3 linked regions of the Cricetulus griseus genome follow. The protein of the gene in region 2 interacts with the protein of the main gene of each other region in a pairwise test. Links are inferred from orthologs where the notes say so. Each region holds a gene or a part of one and is shown on either strand. Other genes may lie near its edges. The genes, in order: Nqo2, Lrrc7 and Homez.

Region 1 (4,331 bases), on a different chromosome or scaffold from region 2:
CTGTTCTCTTTCCCGTTGCCTTGACTTCCCTGCTATGATATACTGTAACCCGGATTGCTAGCTAAAATAAATCCTTTCTCCCTGCTTTTTTTTTTCCAGCTATCTATCACAGAAAAGAAACTAGAACACCAAGAGGATTAGAGGAAGGAAGAATGGTGAGTTATTATTTAATGGTATAGGACTCTGAGATAACTCAAGTAAGGTAGAAAGAGTTCCATTTTGCTGATGGTTTCAGAGGTTTTAGCTCAAGATTAGCTGTCTCCCTTTGCTTTCTGACCTGTGGAAAGATTAATTATCTTGGCAGAGAGTGCATGTGGAGGAGCCTGATTCATCTCATAGAGGCACAGGACCAAAGAGAGAGGAGACAGTGCCAGAGTACCCACTTCCCTTCAGTGGCATATCCCCAATGAGCCAACTTCTTCCCACAGGTACCTCCTACAGCTTCCAGCACCTCCAAAAGTGCCATGGCCTGGAGAACAAACCCTCAGCGTGTGGGCCTTTAGGGACCTACAAGATCCAAGCTATGGAATGGAAAAAGAGTTTTTGTTTGGAGTTGTGCAAAAGTTTTGGAAATCGGTAATAATAGTAACTAAAGATTGTGAATGTAACTAAAGCCACTTAATTTGACACATAACACACACACACACACACACACACACACACATACCTAACAAAACCTCGACCCCAAAATAGGTGAAAATTTTTTTCTGTGTTGTTATTTTTGGGGTTTTGTTTGTTTTGTTTTTGGAGACAAGGTCTCCTTAGTACAGGCTGGTCTTGAACTTATGGTCCTCCTGTTTCAGCCTCCTCTGTACTTGGGATAACAGGCTAACACCATCATATGCAGTTTCTCATCTATTTGAAAGGGGCCATTGCAGGACACTAGGAATTAAAGCAAGGAGCTTGGTAAAGGTTCTAGAGGAAGCCAAAATCACAGACTGGCTGCCAGCAGCACAAAAACAGCCTGGAAACAGACAAACCTAAAGTGCCCAGCAGCTCCCTTTGTCAGTGTCGCCAACCACAGCACTAGTTCCAAAACTTTCCATCTTCTAAGGGGAGGTCCTTGGCCTTGTAACATTTAATTTTAACCATATTTTATTTACACACACACACACACACACACACACACACACACACACACACACACACATCCTTTTCATAGTTTCCCCCACTGATGACATCTGGCAAGTGTCTTACCATGGAGTGACACTGATAGGGAAGCAAAGAATTCATCCCTCAACACAAAGATTGTTTTTATAGTCAGCCATTTCCCCTCCTAAATCTTGGCAACTACTACTCTGATTCCCCATCCCTGTAATTTGCTCTTTCGGGAAACAGAATCATGAAGTTCATAACTTTTGGGGATTGGCTGCTCTTACTGTGGGATACTCCCAGCCAACTGGAGCTGAGTGTATTCACAACTCATTCCTTTTTTGATTGCCTAGTAGTACACTGTGGGCGTTTTGTTTTGTTTTACCCGGATATATGTAGTGGCTGTGTATGATTATGTACAAGGCAGGAGAGCGCCTCTACCCTTCTTCCAGAACCGGCTTCCTGCCAGTCTCCAATCAGCTAGGAGCCAAACTGGTACTGCCCACAACCAATGGAGTCCAGCGCTAGCAGGTAACAGGTCAGGGACAGGGAGACTTGGGGAGGCAAAATAGAAGTCCACTGATCCCGCTTGTGGGTGGGCAATTATTGCCCATAGGCGCGGGAGGACAGTGTGAGGGCGGGTGAGGGGCGGAGCCCAGCGGGGGAAGCCGCCCTGCGTCCCAGTGCGCAGCCGTAGTGCCTGCCGGCTAGCTTTAGGCGTTCGTGCCCTGAAAAGCGGAGGTGTCTCATTGTGCGCTACGCTCCCTCCTGGAGGCCGAGGTGAGAGTCAGTTTACTGCTTCCCAAGGGCTAGCACCTCCTTCCTGCAAGCGACTTTAGGGATTGGGGGAATGGGACGGAAGATACCCCTTCTGGTTTTTAGCTTGCGAATTAGACCGTGAACTCATGTCCCTGAGGTTCCCTGTACCTTGAGCCTTTCTTAAAGTATCAGTAGACCGTACCACATTTGACCCATGTCCTGCTTAACAGAACGGTTGAGTTTGTCAGCCCACTTCTGGATAAAGAACAGCTGCGGGTTTGCTATTTATTACCAAAGGGTAAAAGTCAAAGCGGAGCCGAGAACCGAGTTTGTTCCCACTGCCTTCCCTTAACCCTGGCGCCTTCAAGCAGCTGCGGCTCACTCTACCTTCAAAGACTCTGGCTCAAAAGAAATATACCTTCTGGAACTACTAATGTGAAATTAGCAGTTTCGGTAACCTCTTATCTCTGGAAATCTCGGAGAGATACAGAAAACTGAACGCGTATGGATCACAGAAACCTCTAGTAGAGTCAAGTACAATAGGTATGGGGGGGTTGAGAAGATAACTTAAGTGAGCACAGAAGGCATGCGGAGATGATATCGCTGCAGGATGACATGCTAACTTAGAATGACCGCCATAGAGTCTGCCTGTGTGGAAGAACGGGGCATAGTAAATGATACAGTGAAAATATCAAAATAGCTGCTGGGTGTTTATCTCTAAATATCAGAGCTCATTTCATGTGGCTTGTCCCTTAACAACCACAGCCTCCCACCAAAGACAAAACACCTTGGATAAGTTGTAGTTTCCACCTAAGGAGAGCTATCGATCATCTCTGTGCCTGAGGGTGAACAGCCCTGTCAGGAGACTTTCTGTTCCTTCCCATTCCTTATTCTAGGAGAGTTGAGTAAGAGGAAATTCAACTCTGATGCACACACCGCCCTCCATTTACTGTAAGTGTGTAGACTGGGCTGAGTGGTACAGCTAGGGGTGGTGAAGCGAGGGGAGGCTGAAGAGACGGTATACTGTGCCTAGGGAGCTGCAGTGAAGCCCCAACTAAGGTGGCTCTGGTCCCTCATTTGGGGAATCTCAGGATGAATTTTGTTCATCTGCAGTGGCCCTGGGAACCTCTGAAAAAGTGGACCAGGCCATGGGGCTTTCTGCCTAAGGTCTTCTGTTATTCTTAGGAAAAATCTTTACCCTGCCCTATTTACTTGGTTATTCCCCATCCTGCTTCTTGGCTGCAACCCTCACTTCAAACCACAGCTCAGCTAAATAACCTTTCTTGATGTTTCTGGAACTCTCCAATTCAGCTCCCATTGGGTCCTTACTTGATTGCCTGCCTGCCTGCTTGGACTCTCTCTTGATCCAGGTTTCTGCATGGCTGGCTCAATATCACCATTTATTCACCGTCTCTCTTCTGACACCCCAGAGGAAATGTGGGCTTGTGGTGTCTATGTAATGTTTAGTGACTTTGAGATACGAGAAAGTCTCTGATCAGTGCTCTGCCAGAGATGAAGCTTTTGATCTGCTCTCTAAACTTGCAGTGTAAACCTCGGGAGGAACTTTGACCTCCTTCTCTAACCCTTCTAGTCTTAAGGCATATCCATGTCACAAGGCTCTAACCCTTCTAGTCTTAAGGCATATCCATGTCACAAGGCATTAAAAGGAGGGGAACCCTTAGCACCTTCAGCTCACAAGATTTTAACTTGCAAATAGCATTCATCAGAATAGCATTCATCAGAACAGAAAATACTTGGCACTGACTTCTCAGGAGGTCAAGGTCAATTCTGACTTTTAAAAGGTGAGACTGTACCCTGGGGAAGATTTCACCCAGCATGGAGCTTTCCACCTGTTGACCCAGCATAACCCTTGGTATCTTCCAAAATCCCTCAGCACCTAGCACACCACCACTATCATCAAATGAGGGTTTAAGACAAAAAACTCATCTCCATTTTCCTCAAAGGTTATGCTTGAAAAAAAATAAATCCACTTTCTCCCACCAGTCTTATAGAGCAGCATGTAATATGAGCATGGTGATACTGATTGGGTGTGTATTTAATGTGACAAACATCTTTCATCGAAATAAAGTGTTTCTTCAGGGTATCACTACTGCCACGGTCACTAGTACTTTCCACTGTCTGGGCTCTGTGCTTGCTTTGCCTACTTGTTGACTGTTCACTGTCTTTCCACTACCAAAGAGTATATGTAAAGCTCATTTCTCATTTGTGATGCTCACTTCTGTGTCTCAGCACCTCATTCAGTATCACACCAGATAGCTGCTTCACCATCCGGTTATTGTGAATAAAGCTTCGATGGACATGCAGGAACAAGCGGGTCTGTCTCAAAATCCTGTGTTTCAATACCTTTCAAGTAGTGAGTAGTCAGGGATGATCCTGAACTCCTAATCTAGGATTACTGGCATATTCTACCACACCCCAAAACCTGTTCAGATCCTACTTTGATTCTTTTGAGCAGATAA
Region 2 (3,653 bases):
CCTAATGTTGATGTCTGAACTCCACCTGCATGTGCACACACATGTACCCAAATGCACATGAACACACAGGTGCACACATGCACACACACACACACACACTCACACACACACGCACGCACGCACATACACACACTTACACACACTTACACACACTCACACAGTCACACACTCACACGCACACACACACCACCAAAGAGAAAAGTCTTCCTCTTTATGGCGCACACAATAATAATGGAAATACTCTAGAGTGACTTCTCTAAGGGTCAGGCTGCAGGGTATGGGACCTGGTCATTAAATGTACCCAGCAACTGGCTGCAAGAGGAGAGGGCCTTCTCTTGTGCACACATATTGCACAGAGTATTTTAAAGATCAGGACAACAATCTTTGACCCCTACATGAGATTCCCTAAGCAGTATGAGAAGCATGATTAAAAAACAGTTTTTAAAAACCTAAACCTGTTAGAAGTCTTCTAGCCTGTGAGTGATCGTACTATTATAGAAAGTTTTAAGAAGGGGTTGCCTTTTCCTATTTGAGTAGCACTGGCTGGTGTGTGTTCTCTGTAGCTATGCAGAATCAGGATGGTTTCTTATGACAATGAACCCACTTTGATGCAGCCTCAGATAAACGCACGCTGTCTGAGATCAGCTTGAGAAATGGACCATTTGCTTGTGTGTTCCTCATTTTCAAGAATAATAATAAATGGCTTTAGTCTTTGACTTCCAGATGTAAATGAATCACTGGGGAATGTGTAAGGATGCATTTATTCAAATTTTGGCTTGCAGAAATATAAAAGGGGAAGATTTTTTTGAAGTATAATGTTCACATCTGAATAAATTGATCTTTTGATTTTATGAAAGAAAAACCACCACATTTTTGTAGCACAAAAAAAAACAAGTACGGACTGTTCTATTAACCTGAATTTGTTTTTTCTTCTTCGAAACATCCCTGGTCTTCAAAATAATGCAAAGAAAAGATAAGAAGTAACCAGATCCACAGGCTATCCCTGAGATCGATCTAGTGTGTCACCTAAGCCCCTGGTCAGGTCCCCAGTGTGAAGTCAGCAGTCATGTGACCCAAGTTGCAAAAGCATTTGCCTTTACTGTCTTGAATTTTCTGTTTGTTTTTCTCTTGAGGACTGAAAGTTTGGTGCAATAATTGAAAAATAATTCTTGGACTTCAGTCAATCAACTTCTGTCTGTTGGAAAAGAAAATAACAAACGAATTTTAAGAATTCTGTAAGACAGAGAAATTTGTGACAAAGGAAAATTCTTTGGAAAATGAGTTAGCTTCAACTAAGCACTTGTTACCGGGTTTCATGCAATTTTCATGCAATTATGTTACAAAGCAGATTTTACCATTAGACCACATTTTTACGTAAATAGTGATTTATAAACCATCTTCCCCGCTTATCTGAGGCACATTTAAATGAATTAAAACCATAGTGCTAAAACCGAATTCTCCATGTGTTCTCTACCTTGAAAATGAGGTTACTCCAGTCACATACACCTCCCACATACACACAAAGAACCAGCAAGAACATCAGCGTATTGGGCACTTTGCTAAAAAGTCACTGCTGTGTGTGATCTTACTTTGTTACAATGTGACACAGGCTCTGTAGTCGCTCCCACATGGTGTAGGGCCTGGAACCTGAGAGACCTGGGACAGAATCTTCATGAGAAAGATGATGCTAACGTGATTCCTCCACTGCTCTGAGGAATAACGAGACTGGAATGCTTCACCCAATCTCCATGCTGCTGCTGTTAGCCCAGGGGAACCCATTCCTATACTAGGAAAATTCCCAAACCTCATGACTAACAGCAAAACACTCAAGACATAAGAAACACCAAAAGGAATGTTCTGCTTCCCACTTCCTGTCCTTCCCGCGCTCTCCTTCGTCTTCCCCAATATCCTTTCCCAGTCCTTTTAAATGTATTGACTGTATTGATTAGTGGTGCTTGCTGTCTCTTTTTGCATAGTCTATTAAACTTTACTAAATACATCATGTATATTAGAGAAAAGCATTAATACTTTGGACTCCATAGATTTCCAGTCAGACAGCGACAGCTTCAACCCCACGCTGTGGGAAGAGCAGAGACAGCAGCGCATGACTGTTGCCTTTGAATTTGAGGATAAAAAAGAAGATGACGAAAGTGCTGGGAAAGTTAAGGTGAACTTTTGGCCTTTGTTTCTCTTGTTGTTCTGTCTGTCCGCTGTTATTATTCAGACAGAGGAGGGATCCACTATGTGACCTCTCTGGAAGGTCACAGTCATTTTCTATTCTTGTGAAGAGGCCCCAGTCTAGAGGGCCGGTGTTTGGGCAGCATTGGTGTGATTCAGAAAGAGAGGAATGTCCCGGTTCTGACTGAGCAAGTCTGATTTGCACTCCCTTCCATTCCCCCCCTCCCATAACAATGTGCGAGAGATTCAAGCTGAAAGTGGGAGGAAAGTCTAGGTGACTCTCATTCATCTGTAACATTCTACAATAATCCTTTTGGTCACTGGGCCGGGCCCCATGCAGACAGTACCAGCCAAAATATACATTTGTGGAAAACAAGCTGATTGGCGTGCGATAGTGATGTTACATCTCTAAATCTTCTACATGGCTGGTGTATTTGAAAAGAACTTTTGTTTCTTTATGTTTGAGTTTTAAAAGGAGGTGAGTGTCCAACCACAAGTGAAGATTTTTTTAGGCAAAATAATTCGTTTATTTTAACTGTATATTTTTAAGAAATCTTTTACTGTGACTAACCTGAACGAAGAAACAAGGCTAAACATTTAAGCCTGTATATTTCAGTTATTTAAATTTTTCAAATATGAGAATTGGCTGAGATATCATTAACAGTTTTTCATGTTATATCTTGGTGGCATCTTGAATCTCTCATTAATTTTTATATTATTTGTACAATTTTTCAAATAATACTAACAGCTTTCACTTGTAGTGACTAATGACCTAAGTAACTTACTATGCATCTTATTAATAAATCAAGATTGTGTGATGTGTTCCCTGTCCCCCACCTTACCACATTTTCTAAATGTCATTTCTTCAGCTGTCATTCATGATGACTGTGTCATTACGGAAAACTCAAAATGGAGTCATAAATCCAAAATGACATGCATTCTTTAAAAACTTTCTATTGAAGAAACATTTATGGATGATTGAATATTGCTGTCTTATGACCAAAGAGACATGGTTTAAAACTTGCGAATTCTTAGAAAATAATTACGCTAAATTCAGTACAAACCTTTAAAGCAATTCGGTTCCAGTTTCCGTCTTCAAGGATTTTGTGTTAAATCAAGATCCAGTGGGTGATGCATTCTGCTTTGGACTCTTGATTCATTTTTATATTTCATTGAATTGTCAAAATAACTACAGACTCCCTCTTAAAAAATCCATAGCCAAGGATAAAAAGGAAATACATTTAATATGCTCCATGGATGTGTTGATAGAATCATGAAATACAGAAGCGGAAGCAATAGACCAGAAACCCTGTTTGTGTGCTCTGTGATGAGTATGTCTGTGCTCATAAAGGGTTCCATGTGCTTTAGAATGATTCGATTTTTTCTCTGCATTTATTAACATTCACTCTATTTGTATTTTGGTAAAAACAATATGTTTTTCCAAAATCTCAAACTACTTGGCTTTGACTAATTTG
Region 3 (3,309 bases), on a different chromosome or scaffold from region 2:
ATTAGGGTGTCATATATGCTAGGCAAGAGGTCTATTGCTGAGTTACATACCCAGCCCTTAAATTAGATTGTTAATGGACTTGACTACATCAAACCCCTAGACTCAGGCTTGGTATAGATATAGCCCATTGGCAGAGCTCTTGGAAGGTGGAAGCAGGAGGAGCAGAAGTTCAACTACAGCCATAACTCAAGGCAAGCCTATCAAAAAAAAAAAAAAAAAAAAAAAAAAAAAAAAAAAGCCAGGCATGGTGGCACAGGCCTTTAATCCCAGCACTCAGAAGGCAGAGGCCGGCAAATCTATGTGAGTTTGAAGCCAGCATGGTCTACAGAGTGAGTTTCAGGACAGCCAAAGATACACAGAGAAACCCTGTCTTGAAAAATCACACATACACATACACACATACACACACACACACACACACACACACACACACACACACACACACACACACACAGAGAGAGAGAGAGAGAGAGAGAGAGAGAGAGAGAGAGAGAGAGATTATATAAGATTTTAAACCATAGGAGAGGCAAAGTGGAGAAAATAAACAATTTTATTTTTGGCCTTTTTTATTATTTTAGCAATTTAGTGCTTGCACTCTATTTTCAGGCGACTAACCCACTGTTACCAGTGATCCCCAATGTTGACATTTATTCTAGAACATCATTGAGTTAGAAGACCATGGTCCTTCTGTCACCAAGACAGATCCTATAAAGAGGGAAACATTTCTTGTTAGATACAAACTGAACCAGTAGCAAAAAAGGAAAAAAAATAAAAAAAAAAATAAAAAAAACCAACAATATCAGTCTGGACAGAAAGTGGTGTCAGGTTGTAAATCCAAACCTGTAACATCCCCACTATCCTTCTCTGTTACACTGTGCCATTATGTTTCAAGACAGACTCTTATGTAGTCAAGGCTGGCCTTGAACTCCTTGATCTTCCTGTCTCCACCTGCTAAGTGTTGTAATCACAGGCACCATGCCTAGCTCATCATACTTTAAAGGGCAAATCCCCTAATCCCCACATTCAATAAATATACAGACTAACATTCACAATCTGATTCTTAAAATTTTTCACAGACTCTGTGTAAAGATTTACCCTGAGACAATAGTGAGCAAAGAGGAGATTTCTTAGAAATAAAATGGTAGAAGGCAGATTGGTCCCAGTATTAGAAGCAAGAGGTATCTACTTCTGCATGAATCAAGTGGCAAAACGAGTAAAAACATCAAACTGGTATGACAAATATCTATGACAAAACCGGGACACTGCAGATCCTAGCTGCAATATGCATGCGCATGTGCTCAGAAAGTCAGGAATGGGCACAAAGCAGCCTTGTATTCTCTGACAGACGGCAGGATTTGGATCACAATACTTCTCTCCATCCCAGGTCTCATGTAGATGGGGGGCTGAGACAAGGCTTAAGCGTACTAAAGGAAAAGAGTAAGAGGAAAGCAAGAGCCCTGTCTAGCAATTGTTTGCCCAGATCCCTGGCCCTCTCCACAGTGAGTCTGGAGAATTTGGTTTATGTTGATCTAATACCTTAGTGTGGTTACCTCCCCAGTCTACTGTTAAATTACTTATCCTGCCTTGTCCACTCTGAAAAACACAAAGCTTTTTAGTTCTTTGTGACAGTGTGTTTCAAAAAGGTTTAAACGGTCAATAGGGTGGTTCATCTTTCGGTAATAGACCCTTTTCTTCCTCAACCCCCCAGTCCTGTATGGCATCATCATCATCATCGTCATCTTCCTCCTCCTCCTCTTCCTCACCATCTTCTGGCAGTTCTTCATCTTCCTCCTCCTCTTCATCTAGGCAAACTACCACCTCCGCTGGCTCAGACAATCGAGAGTCAAACCAATCCAGCACTTGCTGAGTGCTAAGTCTTGATGCCTGACTCAGTTTAAGAATATCAGCTTCCTGCAGCTGCTGGTGGGTTGCCCAGTACCTCTCTAAAGGTTTTATGTCTGGTGGGAGCGGTAGGGCTGGCAGAGGTGGTGTTAAAGGTTGTATGTCTGGTAGGGGTGGTGGGGCTGGCAGAGGCGGTGTCTTGACCCATTCTTTCAAGGAATGAGTTGATGGTGTGGGAATGGCTGGATCTTGAAAAGTAGGGGCACCAAGTACTGCATTGTCCCGAAACCATTTCAGTTGTCCATGCTTCAAGGCATATCGGGTGTCACCAAACCATTGAATGATCTCAGGGCGAGGTAAACCAGTTATCTGTTCTAATTTATGGTAATCTTCTCGTCGTGCCCATTGGCACTGTAGAAAAAAGGATTTGAGGATGGCCAGCTGTTCTTTGGTTTTACGCTTAGTCTTTCGCTGGTGTTGCATATCTGGTGAAAGGTATTCTGTGGGGCCAACCCGATTTGCTACTGAGTTATTCCGTAGCCTTTGGGGCCAGGGTGGTTCCACTTGTGGAGACAGTGCCTGCTCACTAGGCGAGAACGACTGTGGAATATAGCCCAAAGGCTGGAGGGGTTTAGGGGTGGCAGTAGTTCCATTAGCCAATACCTGGAAAGGAGGAGATGGAGGTGTCCCACTAGGTGCTGATTCCTCCTTACAACTACTGACAAGTAATGAGATCAGTGGGGGCTTATCCTCAGCATGTGGCTGATGAACAGCTGTGGAGTGATTCCAGGAAGCAGTCCCTACACCACATGACTGGTCAGAACCCCTTTCCTGCTCCTTAGAGAGTCCACTGATCTGAAGATCCTGACAAAAACCTGATTGGTGGGGTAACGCTCTGCTGCCTGTCATCAGAGGTTCCTTCACTTTCTGGTGACTCTGTGGCAGCTGTGGTACCTGAGAGGGTTCCTCAGGCTCAACCTTCAATCCTTTCATCTGGGTGGGCTCACCAAGAGCCAGAGGACACAGTCCAAGAGCAACCTGCTCTGGAGAGGGCACTGGAGGCATCTCCGGTGGGGGCCACACTGCGTGATTTGTGAAAGAGAGGAGAGACTTGAAATGGAGCTGATCTCGGTGGTACACCACTCGGGCTCGAGTCTCTTCTATCTCTTCAGATGACCAGCTAATGCCACAGCGGAGCCGTTGGGCCATGAACCAGGTCTTTACCTTCTCCATCTGCAGCCCATATCTCAGGCAGAGGAGAGCAATATCTGCCAGGCTTGGATAGGGGAAGTAGCTGAAGGTTTGTAGCAGGTGTTCATTTCCATCCAGCTCACTGGTTTGCGCTGCTTGAGTCCACACAAGCTGTAGCTCCTCAGAGATTGGAGGGAGGCAGATGAGCCCTGCTGCCGAGCTGTTAAGACTGCTGGCATCTTTATTAGGAGGCATGGTGTGCTCTGACTTATGCCC

Evidence for each region.
Region 1: the proteins of Lrrc7 (region 2) and Nqo2 interact in a two-hybrid assay, tested with the Homo sapiens proteins (2 studies listed by BioGRID). The two-hybrid records come from large-scale screens. The link is inferred for Cricetulus griseus from reciprocal best matches to the Homo sapiens genes LRRC7 and NQO2.
Region 3: the proteins of Lrrc7 (region 2) and Homez interact in a two-hybrid assay, tested with the Homo sapiens proteins (2 studies listed by BioGRID). The two-hybrid records come from large-scale screens. The link is inferred for Cricetulus griseus from reciprocal best matches to the Homo sapiens genes LRRC7 and HOMEZ.

Annotation. Positions count from the first base shown.
Region 1 is NC_048596.1:253,798,794-253,803,124, forward strand, and holds the start of Nqo2 (ribosyldihydronicotinamide dehydrogenase [quinone]), read left to right. Parts: upstream 1-1,470; 5' UTR 1,471-1,623; intron 1,624-1,746; exon of another isoform or gene 1,747-1,872; intron 1,873-4,331. UniProt on the Homo sapiens protein: The enzyme apparently serves as a quinone reductase in connection with conjugation reactions of hydroquinones involved in detoxification pathways as well as in biosynthetic processes such as the vitamin K-dependent gamma-carboxylation of glutamate residues in prothrombin synthesis.
Region 2 is NW_023276806.1:1,472,533-1,476,185, forward strand, and holds part of Lrrc7 (leucine-rich repeat-containing protein 7), read left to right. Parts: intron 1-2,042; coding exon 2,043-2,167; intron 2,168-3,653.
Region 3 is NW_023276807.1:210,051,066-210,054,374, forward strand, and holds the end of Homez (homeobox and leucine zipper protein Homez), read right to left. Parts: coding exon 1,654-3,309; 3' UTR 533-1,653; downstream 1-532. UniProt on the Homo sapiens protein: May function as a transcriptional regulator.